Tribolium castaneum: one gene and its partner. The protein of the gene in region 1 purifies or fractionates together with the protein of each later gene. This does not show direct contact. Links are inferred from orthologs where the notes say so. Each region holds a gene or a part of one and is shown on either strand. Other genes may lie near its edges. The genes, in order: GlyRS and IleRS.

The links.
Region 2: the proteins of GlyRS (region 1) and IleRS fractionate together in Homo sapiens (co-fractionation; 3 studies listed by BioGRID). This does not show direct contact. The link is inferred for Tribolium castaneum from reciprocal best matches to the Homo sapiens genes GARS1 and IARS1.

Annotation. Positions count from the first base shown.
Region 1 is NC_087398.1:11,176,545-11,192,908, reverse strand, and holds GlyRS (glycine--tRNA ligase), read right to left. Parts: upstream 8,387-16,364; 5' UTR 8,274-8,386; coding exon 8,031-8,273; intron 7,984-8,030; coding exon 7,637-7,983; intron 7,589-7,636; coding exon 7,277-7,588; intron 7,170-7,276; coding exon 7,072-7,169; intron 4,280-7,071; coding exon 4,065-4,279; intron 4,013-4,064; coding exon 3,848-4,012; intron 3,791-3,847; coding exon 3,537-3,790; intron 3,061-3,536; coding exon 2,936-3,060; intron 2,890-2,935; coding exon 2,725-2,889; intron 2,678-2,724; coding exon 2,490-2,677; intron 1,945-2,489; coding exon 1,834-1,944; 3' UTR 1,764-1,833; downstream 1-1,763. Other genes in the region: p23 (prostaglandin E synthase 3), read left to right, coding at 1,040-1,126, 1,177-1,594; guided entry of tail-anchored proteins factor 1, read right to left, coding at 8,448-8,855, 8,906-9,004; calcyphosin-like protein, read left to right, coding at 11,817-12,152, 15,127-15,336, 15,382-15,483; Xxylt (xyloside xylosyltransferase 1), read right to left, coding at 15,880-16,357. UniProt on the Homo sapiens protein: Catalyzes the ATP-dependent ligation of glycine to the 3'-end of its cognate tRNA, via the formation of an aminoacyl-adenylate intermediate (Gly-AMP).
Region 2 is NC_087403.1:5,645,353-5,661,595, forward strand, and holds IleRS (isoleucine--tRNA ligase, cytoplasmic), read left to right. Parts: upstream 1-5,622; 5' UTR 5,623-5,740; coding exon 5,741-5,871; intron 5,872-5,917; coding exon 5,918-6,225; intron 6,226-6,271; coding exon 6,272-7,017; intron 7,018-7,062; coding exon 7,063-9,501; 3' UTR 9,502-9,593; downstream 9,594-16,243. Other genes in the region: uncharacterized protein LOC662426, read left to right, coding at 2,660-2,974, 3,599-3,823, 3,875-4,319, 4,368-4,789; lgs (protein BCL9 homolog), read left to right, coding at 10,470-11,988, 12,045-12,273, 12,483-12,673, 12,942-14,338; retinol dehydrogenase 13, read right to left, coding at 15,814-16,139, 16,187-16,243. UniProt on the Homo sapiens protein: Catalyzes the specific attachment of an amino acid to its cognate tRNA in a 2 step reaction: the amino acid (AA) is first activated by ATP to form AA-AMP and then transferred to the acceptor end of the tRNA.

The DNA of each region.
Region 1 (16,364 bases):
AAACGGAACTTGAAAAAAAATCAAATTTGAGACTCACCCAATTGTTGTCCTTAAAAACCGACATTCCGTTTCTTAATTGCTTCACCATAGATAAAGCATTTTAATCCACAAATTTGCACAAACTTTCTCACTTTGAAAAAATCAAATTCTCAGACAAGGCCAACCTGTTGGTTGGATTCGCACCAAAACAAAATATTAGCAAAGTCCATACGACCGCACAAAATTAATCAGAGCAGAATAATCGAGCTTATATGGTCGATTTCTCAAATTACGCCCAATTTACTTTAATAAGAAGCGGCCGTTAGTGACCCTTGCCTCTCCAGTTAACCTATGTTGAAAATTTACGTTATGACGCGCATTGTTAATCAACAATCTAACAACAAACGTGAAAAAGCACTGGCAGTGTCGCTCTTTCGACGATTTGTAACTACCTGCCGCGAAATGCGGACTTTCTAATTGGTAGGAAACGACCACGTGGTACTCGACATCGTTTCACGTTGTTGGGAGAAGCGCCTTTTTGTCGCTAAAAACCAAAAGGGGGGGCCTTTGCCCCCGTGTCTTTAAACAATTCGGTTTGGGCGCAATTTTGCAAAAATGGGATTGTTCGAAATTGGCGCGCTCCAGGCCGGTCGGGCGAATCTAGTGACTTTGGCGTGTCAGCCTGACGCAACCGTTACAACTTCACGCAGTTTCCCGGTCTGGACTGGAGTGTTTGGACGTATTATTTTATTTAATTTAAATTAATACAGCCCGAAATGACTCAACAAACGTAAGTTTTGCTTTCTTGTACTAAAAAGCGTTGAAATTGGACCGTGATTGACTCAAATTTCGGTTATTTGTCTCGAATTTTTTCCCAACAACGGCCATGTTGTGGCATTGTGTATAATCGATTCTGGAACATTCGAAAATAATCGTAATTATGATTGCGATTTACGATGAATGCTTTAAACGCGGTTGAATATTTACATAAAAGCACGTTTTTGTGATTGGCGACGTAACGGTTGGTGTGCTAAAATGGCGTCTCTAACCTCACTTTTAGGTTACCTCCCCCAGTGATGTGGGCCCAAAGAACTGGCGTAGTTTTTTTAACGATAAATTTAGAGGACTGTAAAGACCCCGATGTTAAGTACGAGTGGTTGCGCTGTGAGGAACGAGTGGTGACGGGTTCTGTTGCAGATTCACGAAAGACTCTGTATATTTCAAAGGCATTGGCGGCGTTGAGAAGAAAACTTACGAAGTCACAATCCCCCTGTATAAAGAAATAGACCCGGAAAAGAGCAAAAGCTTCAATAGGGGCCGGTGTATTGAAATAATCTTAGTTAAGGCAAGTTCAGACGATTCCTATTGGCCTGCGCTGACTTCTGATAAAAAGAAGCACCATTGGCTAAAATGTGACTTCAACAAGTGGCAGGACGAGGACGATTCGGGTGACGAGGGCGTGGGGGGCATGGGCGGAATGGGCGGCGGCGACTTCGAGGAGATGATGCGGCAGATGGGAGGCCTGGGGGCCGGCGGGGACAAGCCCTCCTTTGATGATTTAGAAGATGGTGATGGTGCTGATTCAGACGATGAACCTATTCCCGATCTTGAATAAGCACTCGAATTACTTCTTTCCTTTTGTATCTTTTCATTTGTTAAGTTAACAATAAAATGTTTAGTGGTATCTTCGGATTTTATTTCTTTGTTCAGTGTTTAAATGTGCTAAAGTTTTCCTTCCAACCGTTCATCATGTGTATTATCAAGTATTAAGTGAATAAAAAACATTTGTAGGTACCAAGGTGTTTAATTTCATTCAAGCTTATAATTATAATAAATTAAAACTGGACAATTCCCTCAAACTCCTTTGCTTTCCTGTTGCTCGAACTTCGGGTATTTGCCCTCAATATCGGCCCATGATTTTTTACTGTACGACAAATCGTGCAAAACTGTCGCAATATCGTCCAGCTACAAACAATAGATGGTGAAACCACTGCTTTAATTTCGTCCGAGAGGGAGCCACGTTACAGTTACCATGGTTATGTTAATTTGGTAACTATGGTAACAATACATATGGCGCCATAACTACAGACATATAAAGGTTAGGATACGAAACAACGTACAAATAAAACGTTCGCGAACTCGATAGTTCCATCAATATCGCCAGAGGGAGCAGTTGTTCCACAAACAAAAATGGTATTTATATAACGATTAGCACAAGGCAAACTAAAAAAATACAGACAGATAGAGCATTAAATTATCATTAGTAAGAAATGAAAATAATGCAAAAATTTTGACGTAAACAATAGTTAATAAAATTACAAACTTAAACCAATTTGCACTCCGCCCCATATTTTTCAAAACGCTGTGAATACAGTTATTGATAAAAGAAGAGTTTTAAGAAGAAAGTTGTAGAGAATTAAATTTCCTATAAAAAAGTACTGCAGGTTCCGGATTTTGTATCTCGTTTCGCCTCCTAACTTATAGTATAGTCCTCGGTAACCAAAACTTACCGGAATTCTGACTTGCGCCATAGAATCGCGCTCTCTCAAAGTCACACTGTGTGGTTCTTTGAGTGTATCAAAGTCAATTGTGATACCATATGGTATAGCGATTTCATCAGTTCTGGCATATCTGCGTCCTATAGAACCAGAACTGTCGTCTATTTTGTGTGAAACGTCGACTTTTGTTAGGGCAGTAGCTGAAACAAATTCGTAATAATTGCTATTATTGCATCAAATGACTTACATAGTTGTTTAACAAACGGTGCAAATTCCGCATTAGAGCTTAGGGGAAGTACACTACACTTTAACGGTGCTATTGAAGCGGGCAGTGAAAGATAAGTCCGCTGTTCGTCATTCTCACGCATTTTGAAATTGTGTTCGAAGATTGCGTACGTTATTCGTCCCACACCTGTTCACAATAAATAAAAAAATTCTTTTCGTTATGAATTCCTTACCAAACGATGGTTCAATAACACTAGGAATGATTTCTTCCACATGGAGCGTCTTTTGGTAACGTTTTACAGTTACCATTTCTTTCGTCAGAGTGAACTTTTTATCATCAATTGTTAATTCGTGTGATCTAAAAGCAAAAATCTTCTATAATAGGCTACATCCTAAAATGAAAAAAAATATAGGGTGTTTAATTTTTAAAAACAATTTTGTATTGTAGCTAATATCTTAAACACCCGGTATACTTGAAGATGATTTTATTTGAGTCAGGGGGTCACTAAAATTTAAATATATTTATTTTTTAAGTTATTTACTTAAAAATTAAATGACTGCTTAATGTCATATTAATTTTCTCCTCATCAAAGTTTTTAAACCTTTAAAAATCATTTCACATTGTGTTTTGTATGAAACACCATGTTACACACAAATAAAAAATCTTGTCATGAGATTGAATTTTTAATTTAAAGTTTAAGTCATCGATATGTGTTAAACCAATTATTTTTTTCAAATGCCTATCTCTAATAGAATTATTGCCAAACTGAACAGAGACCACATCATTTACGATTCTATTGAACGGACAAGGACAGACGACTCATTACAACTCACCCATTACTCTCTAAATCCTTTTCAAGAGCTTCAACTTCCGAAACTTGTAATTGTGTGAGCGCATCCGTGATGATTTTCGCATCCTTCTTGAAAGTTTTTCCTAAAACCCCCTTATTAGGGGTCGCCTCAACAACATCGACAATTTTCGGCTCAGCCAATTTTTTTTCCGCCGCTAATCGAACTCCTGTAGCTTGAGTGTGTTGTGTTAAATCAAAGGCAGACCGATCGGCACAACCCACACACTCTATCCAACCCTACAAAAAAATTGACTCACGAAATGAATACATTTTTTTTCTCCTCCTGTAACTTACATAGCTTGTGAGACACTCGGCATCCCAGCAATCTTGCGCATAATGGGCCATTTCGTTGGCCATATGCTGCCTAAATCGCAACCGTTTCTCATCAACGCCACATTTAACCAAAAATTTGTGGATACGTGCGATAAAATACCCCAAAGTCGCGTTAGCCACCAATCCCTAAAACGGAACCACCTTTTTTTCAGGCATTTTGCCAAAAATTTTACCAAACCTTATCCACAGCTGAGCCAATTGTCAGTTTTTCCGCCGGTTTTCCGTCCATTTGGTTACAAGCGGAGTACAATAATAGTTCAGTGTCCCGAATGCTATCAAATTTCGGGTGATTTTTATCAGCAGGGTCGCAAAAATGCTCGATTTCGGCCATTGTAAATTCACGGACGCGAATCAAACCAGAACGGGGGGAAATTTCGTTGCGAAAAGCGTTTCCTTTATAAAAACATTACATTTTGCTTTGAATCAAATTTGTGATCAAAATGATCCGTGATTTTGAAATTACGTCGGCAATACCGGACACAGTTATGATTTTCATCTGTTGATTTGGGAAATTACCACATTTGAAATAATAATAATAATAATAATAATAATAATAATCATAATAATAATAGCGGGGGTAGAAACCCTTAATCTGTGCCACTTGCGGTGCTTGTAAGTTTGAATTAGTTCCTTTACAAAAAATGTACTCGTTTACAACATATTAGCTGTTTCAAAACTATAAAAACGCTAACGTCGCATTTTACCGAATTATTTTTTTAAATAAGATTTGTAAAATAGTAAAATAGTTATTAATAAATATTAGCTCTTACTGAAACTATAAAATACATTAGCTATTATTTATTATTTTTTTGAAGTGCATGAATAATTTACAAAAAGTAGAGGTTTCATTTAATTTTTTTAAGTTATTTAACTTTTAACAAACTTAATAATTTTTTTAAGTTCTTAATTGCAATGCCTGGTACCGATTTAAGTTTGAACTTTCTCCTTTAAAGTGGGGGGAAGTCCTAGGTACTTTTCAAGGAACTGTCTATGTGTAATGTTTTTTTAAGTGTGTTTTTGTCAGAAAAACCTAATTATTTCAAATACTAAGCATTAACACAAATTTTGGTTAAAATCTAATTTTCTGAGAAAATGCGACGTTGGCGTTTTTATAGTTTTGAAACAGCTTATAACTATAGATAATACACAGGGATCATTATTGCATTGATCAAGTGCATTGAAATCGACTAAAATAACAATTTTTGATTAAAAAGAGCAAAAAGCGGGCAAATTACAAAAAGTAAAATAAAAAACTCGTATTATAACTAACGCTAACGCCACTCGTTTTTAATATACCTATTAAAGCATCAAAATGGCAGAATTTACAAAAAAAAATATTTCGAAAGCGGTAACACAGGGTGGCCCAGCTCAGCTTCCGTCTTCTGTAGTTCAGTTATAAGTAAAGTTGGACTTTCGATATTTTGTAGACGTTATTTACACCCAAGGACGTATTTCAGGAAAACATTTTGTGAATATACATACAGTGTCCCAAAAAAAGGATGACGTCAACGTATTTTTTTTATTCGACTGTATCATTAGATAGAATTTTTCGGCATGAAAATCTGGACCAAAACCCTTCTTTTTCGGACGTGGCCGAGAAATATTTTTCGGCCGTTGAAGTATTTAGTTTCAAATCTTTAATATTATGCCCTTTCATACACTTCTTTTGATTTTTGCGGAAGCAACTCTATCGAAACTTGATTTGTGGCATCTCGCACTTTAGGGACAGAGAACATTAACTCGTCTTCTCACATGTCCGTAAAGTTTTTTCAAATCGGTTCAGAGATTACTTTAAAGAAATAAAAACCAAAAAATCGGTTGTACACTTTTCGTTAAAAAATTAATAAAAAACGAGGAATGTTATTTGATGACATTATTACTAGGTACGTGTTGAACAAGGTCTAAAAGATTTATTAATTAGATTTGATTGCTCTTAATTACTACAGGGGGTTTACAATTAACTTCCAAACTTTTTAAACTTTAGAGCCTTTTATTTTGCTTATTTCAAATGTCAACAACCCCTATTTATTTTTATACCATTCGATGGGGAATTAGAAAATGAACATTTTTTCTTATTAGACCCTAACGTAAATCTTAACACATTCCGAGTTATGTGATAAAAACTTGTTTTGTCAAGTATTTTAATGACAAATTTAATGAATAAAAGTCGAGGATATATGTAGTTTCGCTCGGTTTAGTTTATTTTTAAATAAAAAATCACAAAGATAAATTAAAAGTCATTATTTTTAGCTTTTTTAACCCTTAGAAACTCTTTTTTTCTGGGAGATTTTGCTAAAACTCTGAAAAATCCTACAATTACTATTGACTATAAAAGTGTGACGTTTAAATCTAACAACAATCGTCTGCCGTTTAAATAAAGTTAGTATGAAAATGAATATTTAAATGTGTTGAATCTATATCAGTTTTTTATTATAACGGATAGATTTTTTTTAATGTTTGTTCTAATTTCTCAGAATTCAATATTTCTTGTGTTTCGTTTTCGCATAAAATTTACGCTACTTTAACTCATTTGAGTCATGTATGTACTTAAGTATGTATGTACACACAAAAACATTTTTAGGTGTTGGGTAGATTAAAAAGCTGAAAACCCACCAGGAAATCATTCAAGAGTTTTTCCCATAAATGTCTGAAATATGGGACAATCATTCATTTTCTACCACACACTTAGGTTTCTTTACCGAAGAAAGGTGTCATCAAAGTATATTACACTTAGATGAGAGACGATACAACAAGAAATAGTCTGAAGATCGCCAGAAACAATGATCATAGCAGATTTTTGTTGGTTAAAAGTTCAATTGAAAATATGCAAAGGAATAAACTATAATTTATTTTATTAATATGCAATGAGTTAGATATTTTGAAATGATTTTTAGTATTTTGGAACGACGTATAACATTACTTGTAAATTATCATCCCAATCATTAAGTTCTCAGTTATGCCTTTATAAAAAGCTAATATAAAAAAGTTTATGATACAAAATTTATGTTATTAAATTTAAATTCAGGAGCATTCAATTTATAACAGTTACGCAGAATAATAAAAGAAGGAGGAAAAAAAAGTATTTTTGCAGACCAGAATATTTACTGTTGCCAACGTAATTTCAATCACGGGTTACTTTGATGAAAAAATTGGTACTTTATTAACTGAAAAACTACAAAACTCACCGATTTGAGCGGCAGCAAAGGGCAAACGCCCTTGGTTGAACTCCAAAAGTCGTTTGAAGTTAACAAAAATGCCTTGTGCCGTCTCTGGACGCAAAAACCTTAAAAAACAAATATTGTAAAGTGCCCTGTGACTTCGAAATTAAGTTGGCAACACTGAATAATTCAATGGTGCTCACTTAATCACAAGCCACTATCAATTTTGTACCCTTTGATAAGTCCCGAAGGTCCGATTTGCGTTCCAAACATTAGATTAAACTCAATGGGTTCTGTGAGATCATTCCCCGTCAGAGGGCTCTTCATGTTGTATTTCTGCATCACAGCAGCCATTTCCGCTTTCGTCATTCCATCCAACTTTACAACAATGTCCTGGCAATCTGACTTGACATCATCTGTGGTCCTCTTATCAGCTGAGATTTTCTCCAAATGGGCTTTTATCAAATGATCCAACCTAAAACACTCGCCAGTCCCCACGTCTTTAACCATAAGATCCGCAAATCTGTCAACATGTCCGGACGCTCTAAAAATAAAAAATAATTTACGTTTTTCCCCCAAAACCACCACGTACTTTAAAACGGGCTCAGGAGTGAGAATTGAACAATCAACCTCCAACATTTGCTCCTCCAATATGAAAAACTGTCTCCAGGCTTGCAGTAAGTTGGCCTTGAACGCGCACCCCATTGGCCCAAAATCAAACTGACCGGTGATTCCCCCATAAATCGCAAACGACTGGTCGTAAAAAAACCGCCTTTTCAACAAATCCTCCATTTTAGCCCTGTCAAAAGTGGCAACTTGTGGGGCCAAACTCAGCTCTTTCTCCTCTAGGATTTTTTTTCGAGCGTTCAGCTCCGTAACGGCCTTTTTCACGTCCAAAACGGGGGCCCCTTCCGCCTTCAATTTGCGAACCAAATCGCCCTAAAATTTGCGATAAATTAACTGACAAAGAAAAGGCTGAAACCGACCTGTTCCTTGACACTGGCCCTCAAGGGGGCCAAAATTTCCTCCATCTGGGGGTCCGCCATCGAGTCAAAATACAACTGCAATTTTACGTTTCGGTGCTTCTTGTTAATGCCCCACTTTTTCGACGAGACAACTGAACTGATGCAAAGTGGTCGAGCGGTGACACAATTTCTAACCAACAAAGTGGACAAGACTGACAAGTGGCTAAATTTGGCGAAACACTGGGAAATATGGGAGAATTTCATTGACTGGATTGGTAGAAAACTGCCACGAGGCAGACTTTTTTTAATTAGTGCAAAAGTGAAAGGAATGAGCACATGTGCCGGCTGGGAATTTCGGTTTATTTGGTGGGTGATTGGTACTGTTCACGAGCGGGGTTTTCAAAATAACTCAAAAACACTCAATTTTGAGACAATTTATTAAATTAATCGGGCCACAGTCACGCAACACATCGCCCAAAAGTAAAAAGACACATAATTGGCGTCATTTGGATAGCAAATAAAGTTCGTAAACGGCGTTAAACTGATTTTATCGCCTAGATATAGCACAGGAGTGTACCGGTAATAAAGCGATAACAGTATTAACAACAAGGCAAAGACCAACTTGACACCGTACGTGAAACCCAACTGTACGACAAAACTGTTGGTTGGTTTGTCCCCTTTTATCTGTTCTAGTTCTCGATCAATCACATTGATGCGTCTTTGAAGCTTTGAGTATTTTGCAAACTCGTCCACCATACTGAGAGATGACTGCTCATTTTTTAACGCAAGTTTCTGGAGCTGCAGCTCCCTTTCTTTCCCTGTTTGCTTATTCAGCCACTTAAAAACCTGCAAATGGAAATTAATTTAAACGACCACATGGGCCACAGAACACTTACGGGTTTTTCGATTATTGTTGAATGGACACTTAAAAAACTAACAATCGTCGAAATTAACAAAACAGGAATGTTGAAGTAACACTCAGATTGTGACTCCATGACTTGACAATTGGTTTAAACGGAGGTGGAAAAGTAGTGTTAAGGTTTACATTTTACATTAATTAAACAATTATTAGTGTTTTTTAAATGTTTACAAGGAAATAAAAACCTGACATGAAAAACTAGTGTTCTGGTGTCTTTAGTTCTACGCCACTGGCACCGCTGGTGACATTTTTGTGATTGTGTTGGTGGTCCTACAATTTGAATTTCAACCAAGTGAATTAAAAGAGAATTTCTCAATAAAATTAAATATTAAACCGAGATTTAATTTTAAAGTTTCGTCTGGTGTAGTAATTTTAAACATAATAACTCTTGCAGTTAATGGAATATTCAGAAATAGGAAATTTAAATGCGACTTAATTCACAGTTTTTTGTGGTGTGCTAATAATCTTTATTTCTAAACCAGAAAAGATTAAGCAAAGAGGAAAACACTCTGACTAAAGACTATTCTACGGAGGACTATAACTTAGGAGACAAGATACAAAATCGCAGGATTTTCTGAACCCAAAAAAAATAGTATAGCGGAATATAAATGAGGGCGCTCCGAGCGTTATATCACATCGTACTTAGAAAAAAAATGCGGAAATGTTGAGCTTTACATTCCCAACACATTGAGAAAAACTGATGACTAAAATTTTCGGGAGAAACATGAGAAAAAAATTATTTAAAATTTAAAGTTTGAGCTTATATCCCATTTCATTTCATTGTAGAATTTTGCAACAACGCATTTGCATTTTTTGGAGTTTCTGGTGCGTTTTCTTGGCTCAAAATTTGTCGCTGGAATTTAGCTTAACACAGAGTTCTTTTCTTATTCAGAAACTCCCAATTTGTGCAAAATTGTGCCAAAAAAATCTATTATGAAATAAAATAGGATATAGTCCCGTGTTTTTAAAACGCAGCGAATCCGGTTAAAGATACAAGATCACACAGTCGTTAGAAAGTCGCTTTGTTTTCTGTTTGAATTAATTGAGTAGAACTGAAAGATGTGATCTTTTTGTAGTTTCTTCTTCTGAAATTATGGCGTGAAGACCATTTCATTTCCGCCTACAGATAAATAATTAACTTTTTGAGTTTGAAAACAATCGGAGAATAAATATTACGGAGAACTATAATATAGGAGACGAGACGAGATTTTTTGAACCCAAAAAATTAGTACAGTAGAGTAAAAATGAGGTCGCTTTGAGCGTTATACCATCTCGACCCAAATTGTTTTAAATTAATTTAAACTCAACCAATTCACTAATTACTTGGAAAAAATGCAGAAATGTTGAGCTTTGCACTCTTAACAGACTGAGAAAAACTGACGACTAAAATTTTCATAAGAAACATAAGACAAAATTATTTAAAATTTAAATTTTATGGTTCGTCTCGTATTTTTTGAAACGCTGCGAATCCGGTTTAAGATACAAGAAAAATCTAAGGAAGAAAGTTGGAGAGAATTAAATTTTCTTTAAAAATGTCATATAGATCATATCTCTATCTTCAACGGTTTAGGCCCTAGAGACTTTCAAACGACAAATTCCTTTAATTTTATCAGTAGTGGAGTAACAATATACCTAAACTGTTGAAAATAGAAATATGGTATCAGTGACTTGTTTATAAGAAATTTAAAGAATTATCGCTTAGAAATATTGATTTGCGTCCCATCTTATATTTTTGCGAACGCTGCGAATATAGTTGAAGATACAAAAAAAGTGTAAGAGAATTAAATTTTCCAAAAAAAAAATCCGAGTTTTTTTTATTTAATTTTATTGTCAGGCAAACCACTTTAAACAGGTTTCATTTGAGTAAATAAACGTCACTTTTTGTGGAATTGCGTAGAGTTGGCAATGCTGATGGTTATTATGAAATGGCACAATTGAGTTAACTTTTGGAGCCAATTTTTGAACGTTTTCAATTTGTCGTCACTTGACGGAGCAACAAAAGTAAATAAATACAAAAGCTTCCACAGTGATAATATTAGATATCGATTTGTCGGTGTAAATAAGTTATTAGCAAACATTTTAGTATTATTTTGGCTAATAGATGTAGCCGCAATAAAATAAATAGCTAGAGCAAAAGCCAATATTGTGCAACCGTTAAGTAATAAATGATTTAATCGTCGTTTCCGGGCAATCAACTGTCCTATCCTCATTTTCATTGTTGTTATTGAAAGAAATTGCCTGGCAACAATACAATTCAACCCTAATGTCGATCACGATATAAACGTTTTTAAAACTTGAGACACAGTTTATTGTCAATGTATCGCACGATTGATCACACTACACCCACAAATAGGACGTCCAAATCATTGTAAAGATTAAGATTAGTAGCTTTCAAACTACTGAAGCACCAATCTATAATTTAATTTAGTTGGATCAAGTGTGTAAATTTTTAATAATTTAATGAAAAGTGCGAGTTTGATCGATATCGCAATCCCCAGGTGATAATTTTCACACACCCTGATAGCACTTACCTGTTATCACAATAATTAAAACAGTCGCTTTTTGGTACTGCACACGGAAAGATAACCAACAGGTAATTGTCTCAATTTACAAGAATATTTTTTATCGGTTTTATGCGCAATTAAATTGTTATCAAACAACCGCAACGCCCACATCTTAGCTTTTTGATAATTTCCAAAACAGTTACTTTCCTATAAAATTGCGAAAACTCCCTTGATTTATTGCAGAAATACCACACGTTGCGCTAGAGTAAGTATGAATCATCTTTGCCTTGAAACGTTTCAATGAAATTATTTAGTTTAACGAAAACTGTCTTAATTGTAAGTCGTAGCATCATCTTAACCAAAAATTCCGCCGTTTGTTTTAGTATGTTTCGGCCGAAGAGCGCAACATCTCGCCAAGAGTCCGAAATGGCATCGAAGAGCCTCCGGGAGTTGCAAGCTCTGGGTGCCGGGGGCGATCCAGTCCACCGTTTGCGATTACTGTGTTTGTCGCGAGGAGCGAACGGGATTTTGGGAATGGGTCGCATGTTCCGGAGAATGGACGACGATGGGAGCAAGCAGCTGAATCAGGATGAGTTTGTCCGGGGACTCCGGGAAACCGGACTGGAGTTGACGGATGAAGAGGCGTTGGATCTTTTTAAAAAGTTTGACGACGATAACAGCGGGAGTATTAACATGACTGAGTTTCTAGTGCACTTGAGGGTGAGTTTTTTTGTGATATCAACTGATTGTGGTGAAAGCACGCGACAACAAATCTAAATAAGGTCGAAAATAATTCAATAGATTGGTCGTAAATAATTTTCAAGATAGGGGGAATCAATAACGGGATATATCGTCAACGTTCATGAATAATGGTACACTGGACGAAATACTTATGTATTGATTATTACATTATTTGTGTATAAAAAGTGAGAAAAACACGTTATAATCTGATTATAACATTAATGATTTTTATATGAAACATGTTTTTTATTTTTACTTTTAACAAAGTATGTAATAAAAAAGGGCGATAAAAAACATTTTCAAAATGTGTGGGTTCAAAAGAATTTTCGTTTCGACTGTTTGTAACACTGATATAGATTATTATAGGATTTGATTGCTTTGGGCAACCGGAAGTTCCACCAGTTGCACCGTTTTTACGTGAAATTCAGGTTTGCCAACTCACTTCTTGATCACCTCTGCTATTACAATATTAAAATTATGCAAATGGCTCTTTTATAAATTACAAGTTAGAATAAATAATAAGAGCTTTTATTTATTCTAATGCCAAGAAAGTTACAAAAAATGTTTTTTTCTTTACTTCTTACTTTGTAAATAATATTTTTATTTCCAACCCTGGTTTCGACCCAATTTTAAAAATGCATTTTCAGGGGGCTAGAGAGGGGTACCCATAAAAATTCTTTGTAAAATTTGTGGTCTTTACCTTTTTAGAAAAGGCATTAACCATTTCAGATTGCTATTTTTATTAAATTTTACTCGTTTAGTTAAGGCTGAACTGTACTATACTGAGAACAAGTAGAACTGGGGTAACACATTTTGAAAAAAAAACGGATTAAATTGCTTAGGTAAACAAAAAATTGCAAGAAAATTAAATTTTCCAAGGATGCAAACTGTACGCCGAAGAAAAGAAACAAAACATTTTGACTACAGACACCTTATGTTCATCTTAATCTTAAAGTTGTGCTAGAATAAATACAAAATTTACGTTTTTACAAAATTTTGGATCAAGTTGTATTTGCTTTAAAAATAATGAATTTGGACTTTAAAAATTCATTTATCAGAAAATATTTTGCAGGAACCCTACAATATTTTAGAATACTTTTTTATAAACAATTAAATTTCTATTTTCCCAAATACAGCAACAATAACTTTAGGAATTTTACTTTCATTATCATTTTCTTACACGCCATTTTAACGTTTTGTGACAAACTTAAAAAAAATTAATAAATATTTTTTTGTTGCTTTATTTATTGGATTTTTTTTATTATATCAGTTATACTCACTTTTACCCCAAATGTCTATTACTTCTTAATTTGAAAAAATATAGCGGGTCTTTATAAACAGATAACAAACCTGCACACAGGCGAAAACACCATTTGTGTAAGAAAAAACAACTTTTTGATGGCCACTTTATTTTTCTTTATTAAAATGTCATCACTATATTTTTGTATTTATATTTTTTTCATTTTTTGTATTTTGACCTAATTATGTTACTGTATTTTAAACATTAAACTATTGAGTTTTAAAAAGTCGGTTACAAATACTATTATTATGTGATAATTTTAATTTATAATTAGAGTAGGCTTTACTCTTTATAATATGTTTTTAAATTATATGAATAAACCTCTGATAATGATAATTAATCAAGCAGAAGTATCTACTAATAACATACCTAATCGTTAATTATAATACATTTTCCCCCCTGTTTGCACTAGTTTATCAATCACAAGGAAAAAACGCCTACTCTTATTATAAACTCAAATGATCGCATGATCTTTAAAACGAAATAAAAATTGGCTTGTGATGAAACGACATCCCATTGTAAAAAAACATGTTACCTATAATTTTTTTCATTAGAAATATAACTTGAACGTAATTAAAAAATTAAAAACCATTTCGTTTCTGTAGAAGTAAAAATTTTACGTGAAACGGCGAGCGTAAAACTCATCATGTTAAATTATTTTGCAATTATTGTCAATAAATCATACATGTTGTTACGGTCTTCAACTTTGTAACATTTTTAAAAATCGATTAATGTAGGTGTACACATAATAGTGACAATAAAAGCACTGTAAATAACAATTTTCTAAGTGCAAAGTAAAAAAGAGCTTAATAGACCCTTAAATAAAAAGCGTTTACCGTAAACATTATTTTTGTAGTTACCTATAGCTTTTAGATAATTATTTTGTGTTATCTTCAGAGGGTGGAAACAAGCATTTTCTTCACTGCAATATTTTTTACTTTTCAGTAACATCTTGGAATATTTATTATTATTAGATACTGCTTCCGTTAGATTAGACGCGACATTTTTTTACGAAAAATGACATTTATTAAATTTGATAATTCTTACTACACTAGTAAACCACTCACCAACCCATTTGGAAATTATGAAAAATATTTTTTTTATTTTACTGAATTATTTGTTACAAAAAATATTGTACCTAACTTATTTGGAATGTAATTTCCTACTCCCTTCGCTCATGCTGCAAACAATCAATTGCTCGTAATTACGTTACTTAGAGGTAAAATCTATTTCTGATTAATAAAATGTATTAATTATTTCACGTTGCACTATAATTTTTTCACTCGAGTGATAATTAAAAAACTAAAAGTATTTCAATTATTTGGGGAAGGTCGAAATTATAATTTTAAAATATCTCTTATTTTGTAAGGACTGTGGATGCATGCAAACGTGGTCTTCAACTTTGAAACATTCAAAAAAATCGATCGTTAAATTAATATTGATTGAAAAAGTTTCATAAATCATTTCATACGAAGTTAAAACATGAAACACCTTACTTTTCCAAATTATTCGCCAATGATTTGTCATTAAATCATCAATACACAAAGCTCCAAGACTCTTAAATTCAGTAAATAAGCGACCACATTTCGCGTAAACACTACTTAGATCAAGGACTTGTTGCTTGTGACCTAGTTTCTGAATATTTTATTCCAGCCCCCAATGTCTGAGTCACGCAAGAAAGTCGTTGAAGAAGCGTTCAAGAAAATGGACAAAACGGGAGACGGAGTGATCACAATAGACGATTTGAAAAATGTTTACAACGTCAAAGCCCATCCTCGATACATTTCAGGCGAAGAAACTGAGGAAAATATTCTGAAACGATTTCTAGCAAATTTTGAACAGGACGCCACCAAAGACGGACAGGTTGGTTAATGAAGATTGAACAAAAGTTTTAATTAATTTCTGTAGGTAACCCACGAAGAATTTTTTAATTATTATTCGGCCATCAGTGCCTCGATCGACAATGACGGCTATTTCGACCTAATGATGAGACAGGCTTACAAACTGTAATAATGAACCCAGTGCTTTGCAATTTTTGAATTTTTAAATTCACTATTTATAACTCACTGAATACGAAGTTTTATTACTCGAATGTTTCCTGTTGTATTCCTATATTGTAACCGATCTATAGATTTAAATACATGTATTTCGACTATCATGGGATTTTTTTTCAATTCTTAAGAAAACAAATCGAAAAATAAAAAACTGTTTATTTTTGAAAAATACTGTTTTACAAACAAGAAAATAAATGAGTACTTTCACAACCCAGTAATGCACTCGTACCTAATATACCGGGTCATACCACATGATTGTTTGATTGGCAATAACCAATGCTGCCAACTCAAATTTTCCCAAAACTACTAGTGGACGTGTAGAGATTCCACGAATAGATGACCAGTCTTTAATTTATTTTGGAATTTTCGTGTTGCAATTTCCATGTAAAATAACAGCGGGGTGTTGACACTTGAAATAAAAATCAAAAACATCACGGTAGCCATGCTCTCGCCACCAGACGCACAATTGGCGATTGAAACCACAATTTATGGTTTGAATCAAATCAGGATATTCAAACCCTATCAAAGTATAAAAATCCTGGTCACCCAAATGACCTCGAAATTTGTATTTGGACGTGAGATATTGCACAGTTTCATTCCTGATAATTTGGGAATATTCCTTTGATTTTCTTATTGCACTTAAATTAATCAAAACAACACCGGAATTATAGCCCTGGAAGCCACGAGGATGCTGCATATTGCTCGATATCGCCTTGGAATGATAATATTCTCCGAATGTTGAGTTCTTTTTCACTTTATAGGTTTGGAGGACGTGACGGTAGACTGGAGTCAGCTCGGGGGCCAAACCAAAAAGCGCAGTTGGCTTAAACCTATCAA
Region 2 (16,243 bases), on another chromosome or scaffold:
ATTAGTTATGTTTTTACCCAGAAATTTTGTAAAATATGTTATATAATCTGTATAAAATAAACTTATATAAGACCAAACATCTTTCTTTCATTATCCTTATGTCTGGGAGATGAACACAACATGCCTTCTTTCTATTTGGGTGAAGGTTGCCCACCATAGCGGAACTCAAATCTTGTGACGACGTTTCTTATGACTCGGCACGTTTCACTTCTCGACCACCACTACCATCACACACCAGCAATGGCATTAAAATAAAAAAAAATCTAAAGCATTTTTCATGGTTCATATTGAATTAATTCAAATTTATCGAACTGGGTTCCAAAATCAATTATTTCGCGAAAAATAAGACGAATTTAGCCCGAGATGCGATTGCGTTTTTCAAGAATTTATGCACGTTGTTGATTTAAAAACACAATTACTTCGAAAAGTTATCGAAATGTTCGCCGAATATGTCGAAGATTATGTTTTTCTGGTCAATTTGCCTGCTTAATTACATTTTTGAGCTAAAAATTTTTTTAAACACGAACGTGAAATCACAAAATGGCGCTTAGAACAAGAAAATACGGAGTGTTTTTATGGACACATCTTTAAAACGGCTAGCCGATTTAGGTCCGTTTTTGACGTGATATGATTATGATTGTCTTCCATTTTTTGGCCCCCGAAATGTTCATAACAGAAAAAAAACAATAACTTGCTCTAAATTTTTATATTGAAATAATGCTCGCAGCAGAAACTTGATTGAACCATAAGCTTCATTTCATCTCGATTATGTAGGGGTCTATCTTCTAGAATAAAAAGATTCTTGCATCTTGAAACTTTCACACAGAAAACTGCAATTTTCTCAGTTTTGCTCATCAAAACTAAAGCTTCCGCATATACGTTTGACTCAACATTCATTGTGGAATTTTTTGCAAAAAAAATAAATTTCTAACTTTATCAAGAACGAAGATATGAGGACGTGACTACACAATTTGCCCATTTTAGATTAAAAAAAATTAAAAACTCATTTTTAAGACAATACCAAATCAAAAAAAACGACCAATTTATTTAACCAGTTTTCAATTGTTCCAACATACTTGAATTAAAAGTACTAAAATTAATTGCTTTCTTATCGTTATTTTTACAAGAGTGCTATTTTGGTTTCCTTCCATTTAATTGAGCCTCCAGGAGTCCGCGGCCCCCAGTTTAAGAATCACTGACGTCTGGTTTCCTATAAAACAATCGCGTAACAATTTTTCTAAATTTTAAAACCTAACAATGCATCTTCCTTTACAATCTATCATTGCAATCACTGCGTGTGAAGAAATCATGCAAGCAGACAATGCACTTCCTGATACGTCCCAGCAATTAAGCAGCTCTAAGTGCAAATAGGGCTCACCTACGCCGGCCCGATTTTTCCCTGACTAATTGTCGCGGAATGTCAACAATAGTAATTTGATTGATTAAACGCGTCGATATTCCGGGAATGCCACTAATGAAGTGGAACTACAAAAAGCACGCATTGCTATTCCACTGATTCAAAAATTTTTTAGAAAACACTGAGTTGAGTCATCGCAAGCTAATTATGTGAGAAAGATTCCAGCAAATAAATAATAAGAAGAGCGATGAATATTACACAAGGGAACAAAAGTGTAACTTAACTGTTACAACAATGGACTCTTTCAAAATTTATTGAAAAATTCTATTTTAATTAACTGCACTCCAGTCTTTGATTACACGACGCGGTAAGCAGATGGAGGATAGCAATAAAGCTTGTCCCGTTACGAACTTCGCATTTTGCCAATGGTAAACGATTTTATCTTATTCTTGAGCTAATATTTTGCTAAGTTCAGGCGGATGCATGAAAATCAAGTCAAAAATGCTTCACTTGTAAACAACAACCGAAGAAAACCGTTAGTTACTTGAAAAAATATTTTTATCAGGCTATAATTACCCGTGCACTCGACTTTAAACTCTTCTATTTTTACGATTGAGAAAAATAGAAATGCCACACTGTGGATAAATATGGTTTTCGAAAATGACTTTGTCTTTGTATTTGTCTTTTTTGTGATATGACACAATAATTTCCCTAATTGTTGCAAAAATATCGCTTGACCCTCGAACAGCTATAATTTCGCTATCGGACATGTTTATAGACTTTGATATTTTCTGAGTTAAAATTTATACCCACGTTTATTCAAGGTAAGTCGATCAAAAATAACGCAGACATATTGGAAAATTGCGATTTTTGAAAAGTTATTTATCTGAGCAGTTAACATATTGGTGTTAACCGCGTAACCATCAGATCTCTAACGTTTCTGTGTCACTTGTGTGAGGTGTTAGCCGGTGGCAGTAAAATCACAAGATAACCCTCCACTGAATTACATTTATTTAGGCTAATGTGCGGTCGAAGGACGCGGCAAACGACGAATCTGCTGGTTTTTTGTTTTGCAATGTTTGAAACAATAATGCGAATGTTTTGCGCCGCACAGGTGCAGGCATAAATCTGCATGGTAATTCTTCGGGCCGAAGAATGCGAAGATGCGTTAAAAATCAATTCGATAATAAACACTCGACGAAGGCAAACAGGTCGTGAAATAAGATAAACCTTGAGCATATTAACATAAGGTGAAAATAATGATGAAAGTTGTGAGCAAAGGTCTCAGTATTGCAGTCCAGCATGTTGAGTGACACAGACGTTGAAGACCACTATAGTCCGTCTGTGCGGCTGATCACTCTTGAGAGAAATGGCTCCAATTGCGGATTCCACCTAACCAGGAGCAAATGGGACCCCTATCCGTGGGTCAACTCTGTCGAGGATGGCACAGCTGCCGACTCCGCGGGCGTCAAGCCCGGGGACTGCCTGCTGGAAGTCAACGGCGAGGATGTCGTGGGCCAGAGGATCAGTGAAGTGGCCGAAATAGTGAAATCAAAGCCCAATCAAGTTTCACTTTTGTTGTGGAATGCCGGTGTCGATCCTCAGTGTACGCCCGAGGTAAAACAAACATCTCACTTTTTATCAATTCTTCGCAGACCCGTCCGACTTTCTTTCGGTCTCTGCGGTTTTACCCGCAATTAGAAATTTTTGCATGCACTTTGCGTCCCAATTTTAGTGACAGAATCCACCGTTCATTAGAATTCTAGCGAGGGGCTTCTACGTGAAGCTAATTGTGTCAGCGCTCAGATCATTTCTATTTACATAATTATTTCATTGTTTCGCTATTACCAGCTAATAAAAATTCCATGTTAGTGCTAAACATTCTCACATTTAAACACATCCGTTACTTATCTTATCAAGTATCCTCCCCGTCAAACGATATATTGAATCAGCTTACCGCATATCGTGAAAATAATAGTTCTCTTGTGAGTTCGCTCCATACTTTGAAATTTCCAGTTACTTGGCAATTTTTGGGACATGACAAAAAAACTTGCAGTACCTAACTGCAGTTACAGTAGAACTCAAATAACTAATTTTGAAATTGCTTTTTAAAAATCGGGTATTTCCTTAACATTTATTAGTTGAATTTGGTTTTTCCATTGCGGAGTCGTCAAGAAATTTTTGTTAATTTTGTTTGGCGAAAAATTCGGCGTGTAATTTTGAGCTCAAATCCAAATTTAGGCAGTTTGCTGCGGACCCATGCCAACGAACCTCCAGCGCTTGTCTGCATGCATGTCTACGATTCTTGCGTTTTTGGAGTGTCCAGTCTGCCTAGACACAATCCCTCCACCCACCTACCAGTGCGAAAACGGCCACCTGATTTGCATACGCTGTAGGGCGAAGTCCGAGAGGTGCCCCATCTGTCGCTTAAGATTCAGCAGAGGTAGATCATTACTAGCAGACCAGGTGCGTTATGACTTATGACCTCACCCAGGCTTTTATATTCAACTGAGTTAGGTCTACAATGCGTTGGTTGACGCCTTCAACCTGCGGGAAGAACCAGACGACAGTCGGACCGCGAAAATGCATCAGATTTTCAAAATGAAAACCAAGAAAAACGTGCCTGATATCAAAGTGACCCCGTCCCACACAACGAAATTTTTGGCCCGACTTGTCGGAAAAGCGAGCTCGGTTGATAATCTGTCCGGAAGCGCAAATGATAGTGACTTTAATCTGAGGACAAAGTCGCTCTCAAACCAGGAAATTTTCGACGCGGGGAGTCCTTTGGTGTCACGGACGAACTCCGTGAACAGGATGAGCCGAAATGAGAAAAACCAAAATTATCTCAACCCAAATTTTCGCTCAGTGTCGTGTCACGGCTCCTTTGAGTCGTTGCACAACGCCGGTGAAGACATCGCTTTTTATTGCCCATTCGCGCCGGGATGTACGTCCCTAATTAAAGGTTCGCATTTTCGTAATAATAAGCAGTTAGCTAAGTTTATGTCCACAGGAAAAAAAGTAATCGAGCACTTCCAGTTAAGCCACGACGGACCGTTAGTACACTATTTCAAATCGCAAATAACAATCGAGTTTAGCAAAATTTTGGAAGAGCAAGACTTGTGTTACGTTATCCAACTTCAGCAAAACACGTTTTTCCTCAAAATTGAGAACAGTTCCGAAAATGTACTTCTCTGGACTTGGGTTCTAGAAAACGGAAATGTTGCAAAAGAATTCGACATGCACGTCAAGGTGTTAATTGGGGAAACACACGACGTTATAATAAGTGTTAGAAATAACGTGTTTTCACTCAACTGCACTTCATACCAAGAGATAAAGGGGCTAAAAAAAGGTTTACTTGTTAATACTCGGGCCATAAATGGCGCGATAAATGATGTTATTTTTGATATAGCGATTTTAAAAAGTGACGTATGAGCTGTGATATTGTTTCTAATTTATAAATATTTATTTGGAGATATTGTTTGTTTGAATTCGTTAATAATAAAACGGTTTTTTCGACGCTGTTTTGCTTTTCTCTCCTTAAAACGCTCAATATTCCATCTATTAATCGAGATATGAACACTAGATCAGTAGACCAAATAACGGAGTTATGGTCTATTACAGTTACACCTATCATTTAGAAAAAATACGACGCTTGCTCATGGAAGGGACATGGGCGGATTTTTATATGCACCAGTTTTTATAACATGGGATTAGATGGGTGGAACAAAATTCGTTTCATGGGACATTCACGTAACAGCCACGTATTTCACAACCATTTACATATCACGCAGCTAATATTTATTGAATAATCTGCGTTAAAATATAAAAGTTATAATTAGAAAGGATCGGAATATTTAAAAGGCTCAAATTAGAGTGTGCGTTCTTTTGTAAAACCCCGCATTTTCAAGTTTATTCAAACGAATGAAGATAATAAACAAAGTAAAAGTTTATTTTATGTAAATTCTATTCCACTACATATTTATGCAAATCCAGGCCGAATTAATTAAATAACAAAATGTGAAATATGAACAAGCGGGACTGTACCACTTCGGGTGCGCACGTAACGCACTGTGAGTGGCACGAGACCATTCGAACAACTCGCCTCTTGCCTAGCTTACAATTTTTAATAATTGTTTTTAAACGAATCAATAAAATTTATTGAATTAATTTTTTGAAACATTCAAGTCAATGGCACAATAGCAAGTTTTGTTTTGTCACTTATTATTATAAAATTCCTGAAATATTTAAAATATTTCTCCTGGTGTTTTCGTTTTCCCCCAAGCCAGTTGGCAGTGAATTTCATCATCCGAAAAATTGAGGTTGTGTCGTTGCACGAGCATAATATGTGATATAATTTATTGAATTAGTGAAATAGCTCGCACCATGCCTATTCAAGAAATTCCCCGTGTGCCGGAAACCATAAATTTCCCATCCGAGGAAGAAAAAATCCTGAAATATTGGACGGAAATCGACGTGTTCCAAACATGCTTGAAACAGTCGAAGGGAAAGCCACGGTAACTTGGCATGGTTTCGAGTGAACGTGCCTTAGTTATTTTGTAGGTTTTCGTTCTATGACGGCCCGCCGTTTGCGACCGGGTTGCCCCATTATGGGCACATTCTGGCGGGGACCATCAAAGACGTGGTCACGCGTTATGCCCACCAGCAGGGCTTCCACGTGGAGAGGAGGTTCGGCTGGGACTGCCATGGGCTACCCGTGGAGTACGAGATTGACAAGACTTTTGATATTAAGGGCCCGGATGATGTAATGAAGATGGGCATTGACAAATACAACGCCGAGTGCCGCAAGATTGTCATGCGGTACGCCGACGAGTGGGAGAGGATCATTGGGCGCATTGGACGCTGGATTGGTAATCATTTGGACGAAAAGGCCAAACGTTTGATTGATAATTCCAGATTTTAAAAACGACTACAAGACGCTTTACCCGACTTTCATGGAGTCGGTTTGGTGGGTTTTCAAGCAATTGTACTTAAAGGGATTAGTTTATCAGGGCAATAAAGTAATGCCGTACTCGACGACGTGTAATACCCCCTTATCGAACTTCGAGTCGGGTCAGAATTACAAGGATGTTGTTGATCCCGCCGTCACCGTGAGCCTCCCGATCATCGGTCATAAGGACAATGCTGCGCTTTTAGTTTGGACAACGACTCCTTGGACCCTCCCTAGTAACCTAGCGGCGTGCGTAAACCCATCGCTTGAATACGTACTGTTTGAACAAATCAGCACCACCAAGCGCTACATCATGCTAGAGACTCGCATTGAAACAATTTTCCCAGCTGGGGATTATAAAATAATCCGGAAATTCCCCGGAAGCGAATTGAAGGGGCTGCGCTACGAACCAATTTTCCCCTACTTCGCCCACTTGAAAGACAAAGCTTTCCGGGTCTTGACAGACGACTACGTCACGTCTGAGTCGGGTACGGGTGTCGTGCACCAGGCACCGTACTTCGGGGAAGACGATTTCCGCGTCTGTCTCAACGCTGGGGTTATAACCAAGGACCAGGAACCCATCTGTCCCGTTGACGCCAGCGGCCGGTTCGTCAAACCTGTGGTGGAGTTCGAAGGGCTTTATGTCAAAGACGCCGACAAGAAAATCATCGCGGCTTTGAAAACCAACGGCCGGCTCGTGCACCAAACTCAAGTAATGTCCAAAGCGTTTGGAAGCACTAGCTAATTGTTGTTTCAGATCAAGCACAGTTACCCCTTCTGTTGGCGTTCCGACACCCCCTTGATCTACAAAGCGGTGCCGTCGTGGTTCGTCCGCGTGGAACACATGACCGAGGAGCTGCAAAAGGCCTGTGCGGACACCTACTGGGTGCCCGATTTCGTCAAAGACAAGCGTTTCGGTAACTGGCTGCGCGACGCCCGGGACTGGGCTATCAGTCGCAACCGGTATTTCGGCACCCCGATACCGATCTGGGCGTCGCCAAGCGGCAATGAGTTCGTCTGCGTTGGCAGTATCGCCGAACTCGAGCAACTAACGGGTCAGAAAATCACCGATTTGCATCGGGAAAGCATCGATCATCTTGAAATTCCCTCGAAAATTCCTGGAAATCCCCCGTTGAGACGCGTTCCTGAAGTTTTTGATTGTTGGTTCGAGTCGGGCTCTATGCCCTACGCCCAGAAACACTACCCGTTTGAGTTTAGTAAAGAGTTTGATGACTATTTCCCGGCGGATTTTATCGCCGAAGGGATCGACCAGACCAGGGGCTGGTTTTATACGCTTTTAGTCATCTCGACGGCTTTGTTCGGGAAAGCGCCGTACAAGAATTTGATCGCGAACGGGCTTGTGTTGGCCAGCGATGGGCAAAAGATGTCGAAGCGGAAAAAGAATTATCCGGACCCGTTGGAAATCGTTTCGAAGTATGGGGCGGACGCTTTGAGGCTTTATTTGATTAACTCGCCAGTGGTGCGTGCCGAAAACTTGCGGTTTAAGGAGGAAGGGGTTAGGGATATTCTTAAAGATGTGTTCCTGCCGTGGTACAATGCGTTCCGTTTCTTGTTACAAAATATTGAGAGTTTTGTACAAGACAACAATCAAGCGTTCTACTACACTGAAAATAGTGTCGCGCCTGAGAATATCATGGACAAGTGGATTCTTTCGTTCACTCAGTCGCTCCTAGAGTACGTCCGGAAGGAGATGCAACTTTACCACTTGTACAACGTTATTCCCAGGCTGACCAAGTTTATTGACTACTTAACCAATTGGTACGTGCGGATGAACCGGAAACGTCTCAAGGGTGAGGGCGGGTTCGACGATTGTAAAACAGCCCTACTGACGCTGTTCGAGGTTCTCCTAAACATTGTGAAAATGATGGCACCGTTCTCACCCTTCTTGGCCGAGACCATGTACCAATATTTGAAGAAGTTGATGAAGACTTCGGCCGATAGTGTTCACTATTTGATGTTACCGCAGCCGAATCATGCGTTGATCAACAAAGATATTGAGCGAGCCGTTGCCAGAATGCAAAGTGTGATAGAATTGGGGCGAGTCTTGCGCGACCGAAAAACAATACCGATCAAGTACCCGTTGCCGGAAGTTATAATTGTCCATCAGGACCCTCAGTACATTTCTGATATCCTCTCGTTGAAGGAATACATCCATCTCGAGTTAAACGTGCGTGCAATCAACACAACGACTGATAAAAGCAAATACGGGATAACGCTGAGGGCGGAGCCCGATTATAAAGTCCTAGGGCAGCGGCTTAAGCAAGAACTGAAGGCTGTGACTGCAGCAATACAGGCGCTGACCGATGTTGAGATAAATGAAATGGTTAAAGCCGGGTTCCGGGTCGTGGCGGGCCAACGTATCGAAATTTCCGAAGTTAGGCTCATCTTCAAAGCTGAGAGTATTAATACAAGTCAGTATGAAGTCAACAGCGACAACGACGTTTTGATTCTCTTGGACATAACGCCGGACAGTTCAATGCAAGATGAAGGCACGGCGAGGGAGATAATAAATCGTATCCAAAAGTTGCGCAAGAAGGCACATCTGGTGCCAACAGACCAAGTTTCAGTATTTTACAAAACGACTGGTGAACTAGATCGCGTCGCTAAATCCTATTGCGATTTCGTAGAGAATACAATCAAAGCAACGTTCAAGCCAATCGAGCAGCAGCAAAATTCCGACTTGGTGATAATTGAGGAAGTGCAACAACTGAAAAACTGTAATCTACAACTGGTCCTGACCCGGTTTTCCGATATTGTAATCCCGGCTAGTAAATGGGTTAATATCCAGCTTGTAGGCCTCGAGTCCAGATACTGTAACCAATCTCCTAAAGCTTTAGCTTTGCTTGAAGTGGCTAATAAGCCGGTCAGTTTAGATAATTTGCATTCGTCGGTTTTCCGACTCTTTGGCGTGGAACATTACAATCTAGTGAAAAGCAACGGCAAGGAAGTAACCCAAGAGGAATTACCTAACTTGTCGGGACAAACAATTTTTGTAATTCCGACAAATAAAGATGTTAAATTGCCCGAAATGAGCAGAGTACCTTTCTGCAAAGTTTTTAATTTTGTTGCACAAAATACCAGTGGCACGTTGATCTTGGAAAACCCCGCAGGGAACGAAACTTTAAATGAAAAAGACTTCAAGGAAATCATAAACCAGTGGATTAAATTGGCTTAAGGAGAGTTTAGTTTCTTTTTGAATATTGTTAAGTTTTTGGGTGTTTATATTGTATTTTTCCGTTCCGAAGTCAATAAAAAATTGTTTGATAATGTACTTTGTTTTATTGGTATTAATTAACAAATTAAACTGAAAGTGTGCTGGTCTCACGTATGTTTCCGTATGTGGAGAGAATTGTTTACTATTTTTGCGTCTATTAATGACGGGTTTTAAAATAAATAAACAGTGAAGTAAAAATAGCTACGTTAAAACCTCACAAGAAGTAAAACGTAACTGTAATGTTTAAAGACAATTTTCGGCAAATGGAAATATTTGCTTTAATAATAATTATCATTTGAAGTTCAAGATTAGAGGTTTTTATTGTAACAATTATAGTGCTCAGTTAATATTTTTTTATAAACTTTCTAATTGTGTTTATTTTATCGTTTATTTATGGTTTTGGATGTTTGATTTGATGAAATCGGGATTATAGTGGTTCTGATAAATTTGAAAATGGTGCTTGTTGCTAGTGATATTTGACGTTTAAAATTTAGTGAAAAATGTCAATGTTGGTAGCAACGCGTGTGGACAGTTTGGCATTTTGTGATGTGAGATTTTTGTTAAAAGTTTTTATTATGGTCTAAATGTTGAAATTCTAACAATCATACATGTCATTAGAAATATACGGTAGCAGAAGATTAAAATCTTCCATTTTCAGTGTTTGTGCAATGGTAAGAAAGACGAGAACACCTTGTATGCGTCTCTTCAAATTTGGTTAAGAGATGAAAATAAAAAATGATGGAATGCAAATAAAAACATTAGAACATATGTGATATGAAAGATAATTTAGTGGTATTCCAATAAACGGAATGGTTGAAAATAAATGTTAGTGGTCGAATAAAGGACTTTGCGCGGTTTTGGACATGATACAAGTGCAGTGTTAGTGTGTGTACAGCATGAAAGGAAGGGGTATGTGATAAAAATACGAAATGATCAAAGAAAAGCACGAGAAAGGGTCGGATAGCGTGAAGGAGGAGCCCGGCAGTTCCGATAAAGAAGCCTCGACGACGGATGTCCGCATAAAAAAGGAAGATGAAGCAGCAGGCAGCAACTGTGCTGTTAAGAAGGAACCCGGCCGTCCTGTCACCAAAAACGGCGGTATCATCGGCTCCACAAACACAGGCTCTCTACAGAACGCCTCTGAACGAAAAACCGAAGGTGAGGAGGCAACTTCAGTCGCAGACTCTGCAAATCTGACACTAAAAACTGAAGAGTGTATTGACAATGATCTGCCTGGAGATGCATTCTCGTTGGGGCTGTCCGGCCCACCTCCACATGCGACGCCCCCCGACGGAATCCAACCTCTCGCGAGCAACGTCATTAACAAACAACCGGGAAATATGGAAGTTCAGTACATGCAACAGCAGAGTCAGATTTTCGTGTTTTCGACCGTTCTAGCGAACACCGGTGCCGACGAGGTGTTGCAGGGCCGGTACGCATCGATCATTGCCTACCACTGTGCCCAACCGGGCACCAAAAAGTACCTGGAGAAGAACCCTCTCAAAGTGAACCAGTTCAACCGGCAGAACCACGCGCAATGGCTCAATGCAGCCATGATGAAGAACAAAGGCTGCACCCGCAGCCCTGGTCTAGGCCCCAAAACTCAGCCTTCCATCGATAATTTCCTCGGCCCCGACGGTCTAGATGAAATCGGCCTCGGCGACGGCGATCTTCCCTGGGATCAGAAGAACAACCATCATCTCGAAGGACTCGAAGGCGTCAGCAACGGCCTCCCTGACGTCGGCCCCGACATGGACGCTTGCAGTCCTTCCCTCTCAAACGTTCAGCCCTCGCTGCAGGGCGTTAAAGTGCCTGATGAGAACCTCACCCCCCAGCAACGGCAGCACCGCGAAGAACAACTAGCAACAATTCGAAAGATGCAGCAGATGCTCTTCCCCGAGAACCAAGCGATGGACGGGCAACCGCCCCCGGGAAACGCCAGTGCCATAGACATGCCCCACAACATGATGCCGACGGGCCCCGCCCAACACCCACCCAACGCCCAGCTGATGTCGAACCAATTAGAATGGCTGAAGATGCAGCAGCCCAAACCCGTGCCCATCGGCCCCGTAAGTTCCGGCGCCCCGCGGGGCGTGCCCACCTCCGGGCCCCGCCTACAGGGCCCGCCCCCACCTTACCACCAAACCCCGCGTTCGGCCAGCGTGCCGATTGCGCTGCAAAGCCCAAGCCCCGCCTCGCCCAATAACCCCACCTCTAATTTATCCCTTCCCTCGCCGAGGGCGTCTTCCGCCCTCAACTCTCCCGCCGACCCCAACCGCCAATTCGGCCTCGGCAGACATGTCAGCACCGGTCAAAGCCCCACGTCGCAGGACTCTCCCTCTGCCCTTAGACACAACCACAGCAATCCTGGCACGCCCGTTTCGTCACATCTGTCTCCCAGTGTAAATAGCAGTAACACCGAACCCACATCAACCCATCAGTCTTCAGGTTTGTTCGGTCATTATCCACAAATAAACAATATTCTTACATTTGCTATTCTTTAGTTGATGGAATGTTTGGGCGCACCCTCCAATCAATGGCACAACAAAAACAAATGAACACTTCGACGACTTCATGTTCTACAACCCCAACCACTGGGGCTAAGGAGCCTAATCTCATGCCTGTTCCATCTCCGCAACAAATACAATACCTCAACACGTTCGAAGGACAGGAACTAATCATACAAAAACAACCAAATACAAGTCTTAAAGAGAGAAATATTATATCTCCACCGTAAGAAATGCATTCATTATTTATTATTTCATTGAAATAAAAAGTAAACAAGCAAAAAAACTAATTGATAACAAAACAAATAGTTATTTCATCACTGCTATAATTGGTTTAGGCTAAATAAATTAGCTTAAACTGTTTTGATTTGTACACACTAAGCTGGAATACTGTTCTTCATTGAAATATTATTTATTTAAACGCTTGTTTTGCAGCATTCTGCCTACAACGCTTGATAGTGGATTCCCAGGCAATACAAATGATCTTCCTCACACTAGATTATCAGGACCTAATACTCCAACATCAATAGATGTAGGGCCTAGGTTTCCCCCAACACCCGGTGTATCGGCTGAAGGTTGCCGATTTCAAATACCAAGTCCACATACTCCTTCAACTTCGTCTACAGGTATGCAAATCAAAAAAACGAGGAAATGATGTAGAATCTTGTATTACAAAAGCTTTATTTACGTTCATGTAAGACTAATTATCACCTTTATGTTTTCTTAACGAGAGTCATTTAAAAAAATTACGTTTGCATAATAAATTGCTTAAAGTAATTGCAGTGTTTCCAATTTCTAGTTATTTTTGTTTTTATCAGTCGTAACGTTGAAAAATTGAACGAAAGTCACCCCAGTGACGAGTTAATTCGTTTTTTTTGCATCTTTTGTGTATAGGTGATAAATCTCAGCGACTGACTGGTCCGGGACCAACCTCTGCGCCCGGCCTGAGCCCGCAGACAGCCCCCGGTCCGACATCCGACCCATTGAAAGGCGACTTATTTCCTACTCCGAGTCCTCACATGATGGATGTTCCTCGTTTTCCGGGTCCGAACGCTTCTCCAGGTGCTAAAATGGGAGGAGGTTTCGTGAACGTCTCACCATCGGGCAAACCCAGTCCGTTGGAACTTCCGAATTATTGCGCCCGTGGTGACAATGTACCGCTAAATCCGAACTGCACGAGCACAATGACTGGCAATCCGAAAGTCTCGCATTTCGATCCGATCTCATCCCTGGCGCAGATGAGTCAACAGTTGACGAACAGCGTGGCGAGCTCGCTAAACGGCCAAGGCAATCAAGGGCCGGGAGGAATGATGAATTTCGGTTCACCCTCGATGCAGATGATGGACATGGGCGGGTGCCACAACATGCCCGACATGGACCAAGGCCCCATGATGGGCATGGCCATGCAGGGACCCCCGCACGGGTTCCATCCGAACTCGCCCATGGCCCCCATTCGCTCTCTCTCGCCAAAACTGCCAGGTGCCTTCCCCAACCATTTGCCTATGCCGAGGATGATGGGTCGACCACCGGGGCCCAATCCGTACAACGGAGCCAACGTACAAGTCAAACCTAACGCCCCCAACACCATTCAGTACCTCCCGGCGAAGCCCCAAGTGGGCAACGCGCCGGGACCCCGGGGGCCCCCTAGTCTCGATTTCCTGCAACGATTCGCGAACCCCCTTTGCAACATGGACTCAAAAATGCCAACGCAAAACCTACAGTACTTCCCCAACAACGGCCCCATGCAAGGCCCCGGTGGACCGATGCCGCCTCACATGGGCCATATGGACGGCCCCATGCAGCCCGACCCCATGATGGGCGGCCCGATGGGCAACGGCGCCGGGCCCATGATGGGTGGCAACATGGGCATGCCGAGCGGAATGCTTCCTATGATGAGAGGCCCCATGAGGCCACCCGGAATGATGCGGATGCCGCAGATGGGCTTCAACGGGCCGGCACCTGGAGCTCCCGAGATGTTCAACCCAGGCCCCCCCAACATGGGCAATCCGAATGCCCAGATGTTCGTCAGCGGACCGAAAGGCAGCCCCATGGGCATGGGGGCACCGGACGCCACCCAGCCGCTACCACCGTCGATGGGCCAGAACAACACTTTCAAAAATTCGCCGTTTGTGGGTCCGACCACCTCAGATCCGAACTACGCTCAGCAGTACCATAACTTCCAGCAGCAGTTGTACGCGACCGGGACAAGGAGCCAAATGGGGGGCCAAGCGATGGGGCCCGGACCTGGACCTCCACACACTCAACAGCCGCCATACTTTAATCCTAAATAGCAATTGTGGTGCTGAGTGTGTGTGTAACAGAGTATTTTGGTTTATTTTTGATATTACTAATGAGTAATCTGGCAATAATAACAATGTGAGGTTAATTTTGTACATTTTCGTGTGTACTCATCGAATTCAAGTGCAGTTAAGGGTTGGCATCCACTGTTCATGTACAAAGCTGCCTGCCCCCAAGGGCTCTATTCACCTGAATACTTACGCTATTCTGGATTTGTATATTTGCCATAAACTAGAAAGACTTTAGAGTAATCATTAAGTGTTGGACTTGCTTGGTCCTTTTTATGACAGAGATTTCACTATTGCTCATATAATTTGTTTCTATCCATCTGTTATTCATTTTATTGTACATTTTATGAGTAATCATGAATGAAATGATAACAATAAAATTCTATATTATATATTCTGTTTTTTTATTTCATCACTTTTTTATTTATTCATCAATAGTCAGGTCAACACCTCATATGTATACAAATTTAATAGATAGATAAAATAATACATGGGTTAGCACTGTTACCAGATGTAGGAACTAAAAGGATTAAAACCGGAATGGTTCCCGCTACCCCGTCAAACTGGATTCTCTTACAACCAAGGACTGCAACTCCAGCTTACAACAACACTGGAAAAAATCTAAAATGTCTAAATAAACCGACTCTCATTCAGGCCCTCTTACCTCACCAGTTATTATGTTATTAACGTAAGTAAAAAAAACATTTGCATTCTAAAACTTGTCAACTTTTTTATTTTGACCTAAACAGTACAGGTATTAGAAAAATGTGTTTAGTGGCAACGTTTTATGAATTCGTATGCGGATTTTTTTTTCAGTCTCATGAGGGGATTTATCATTTTCAAAGAGTATATCAGGTTAAATGGGTAAAAAATAAGTAAGTAAAATAATTATTGTTTCCCTAAAAACTTACTGTGGAATAAATAATTACACCAAAAAAACAAAGGGATATTTATTTCTTTGAAGATTTAGGGCAGGTCATGCTTAAAACTTGTAAGTAGTTATTGTATTTTCATAAAAACTGTGATGGCTCGTGTTTAAGTGCCAAATTTACGCATAGGGATAGTTGTAATTAGCCAAATTATTTTTTATTGTCGCCTGATATCTCCAGTTGATTTCTAATCGATTTTTTCCACTGTATCTACATGTGCATTTTTCTACGTAAATAATCAAATGAGTAGCCACTTATGGTCACGGACGAAGATTAATTGAATAATCAAGTTCAAAAGTACCGTAAATATTAATTTTTATCATCTGAAGGTTAAGATCATTACCGGCTCATTTCCTTCTGATGGAATTAGGGACGCGAAAAACCTTCTAGTCCCCAATAACGCAAACGAAAAATATTGATTATTTTGTAACTTTACTCGAGTGTCATGAACGTACAAGATATCACCTGTGTTTTACATAATAGCCTATCATTTAATCAAATTTAATAACTAAAAGAATATCTTCGTAAGTCTTAGACGGTTGTAAATGGATTATAGTTCGGCTCAAGTCCTACAAGTTTCAAGCTTTCGTCCCACAGACGCTTAGCGTCGACTGAATTTTGTGCAGCGGGAGCGACGGCCGCCACTGCACAATCGGCGTAATAAAGGCCAGTCTCATTGGCACACTTTTCATCAACAGCGCAGTAAATTGTTGTTTGAGCCCCCTGGTCGGGGGTTTTAATCAAAAAGGAGAAAATACGCCAAAGCCAACGAAGCCTGTAATCCAAATGACGCCCCAACTCAGTTCGAATGACTCCAGGGTGGAGGGAATACACATTGACTCCTGTTACATTTGCCTCTGCAAAATCAACTTGAAAACAAATTCCTCCTGCAATTTGAATCAACCTGCAAGTCTTCGAACTAGCTCTTTGGTGAATAAAATATTGGCTAATTTGCTTTGCT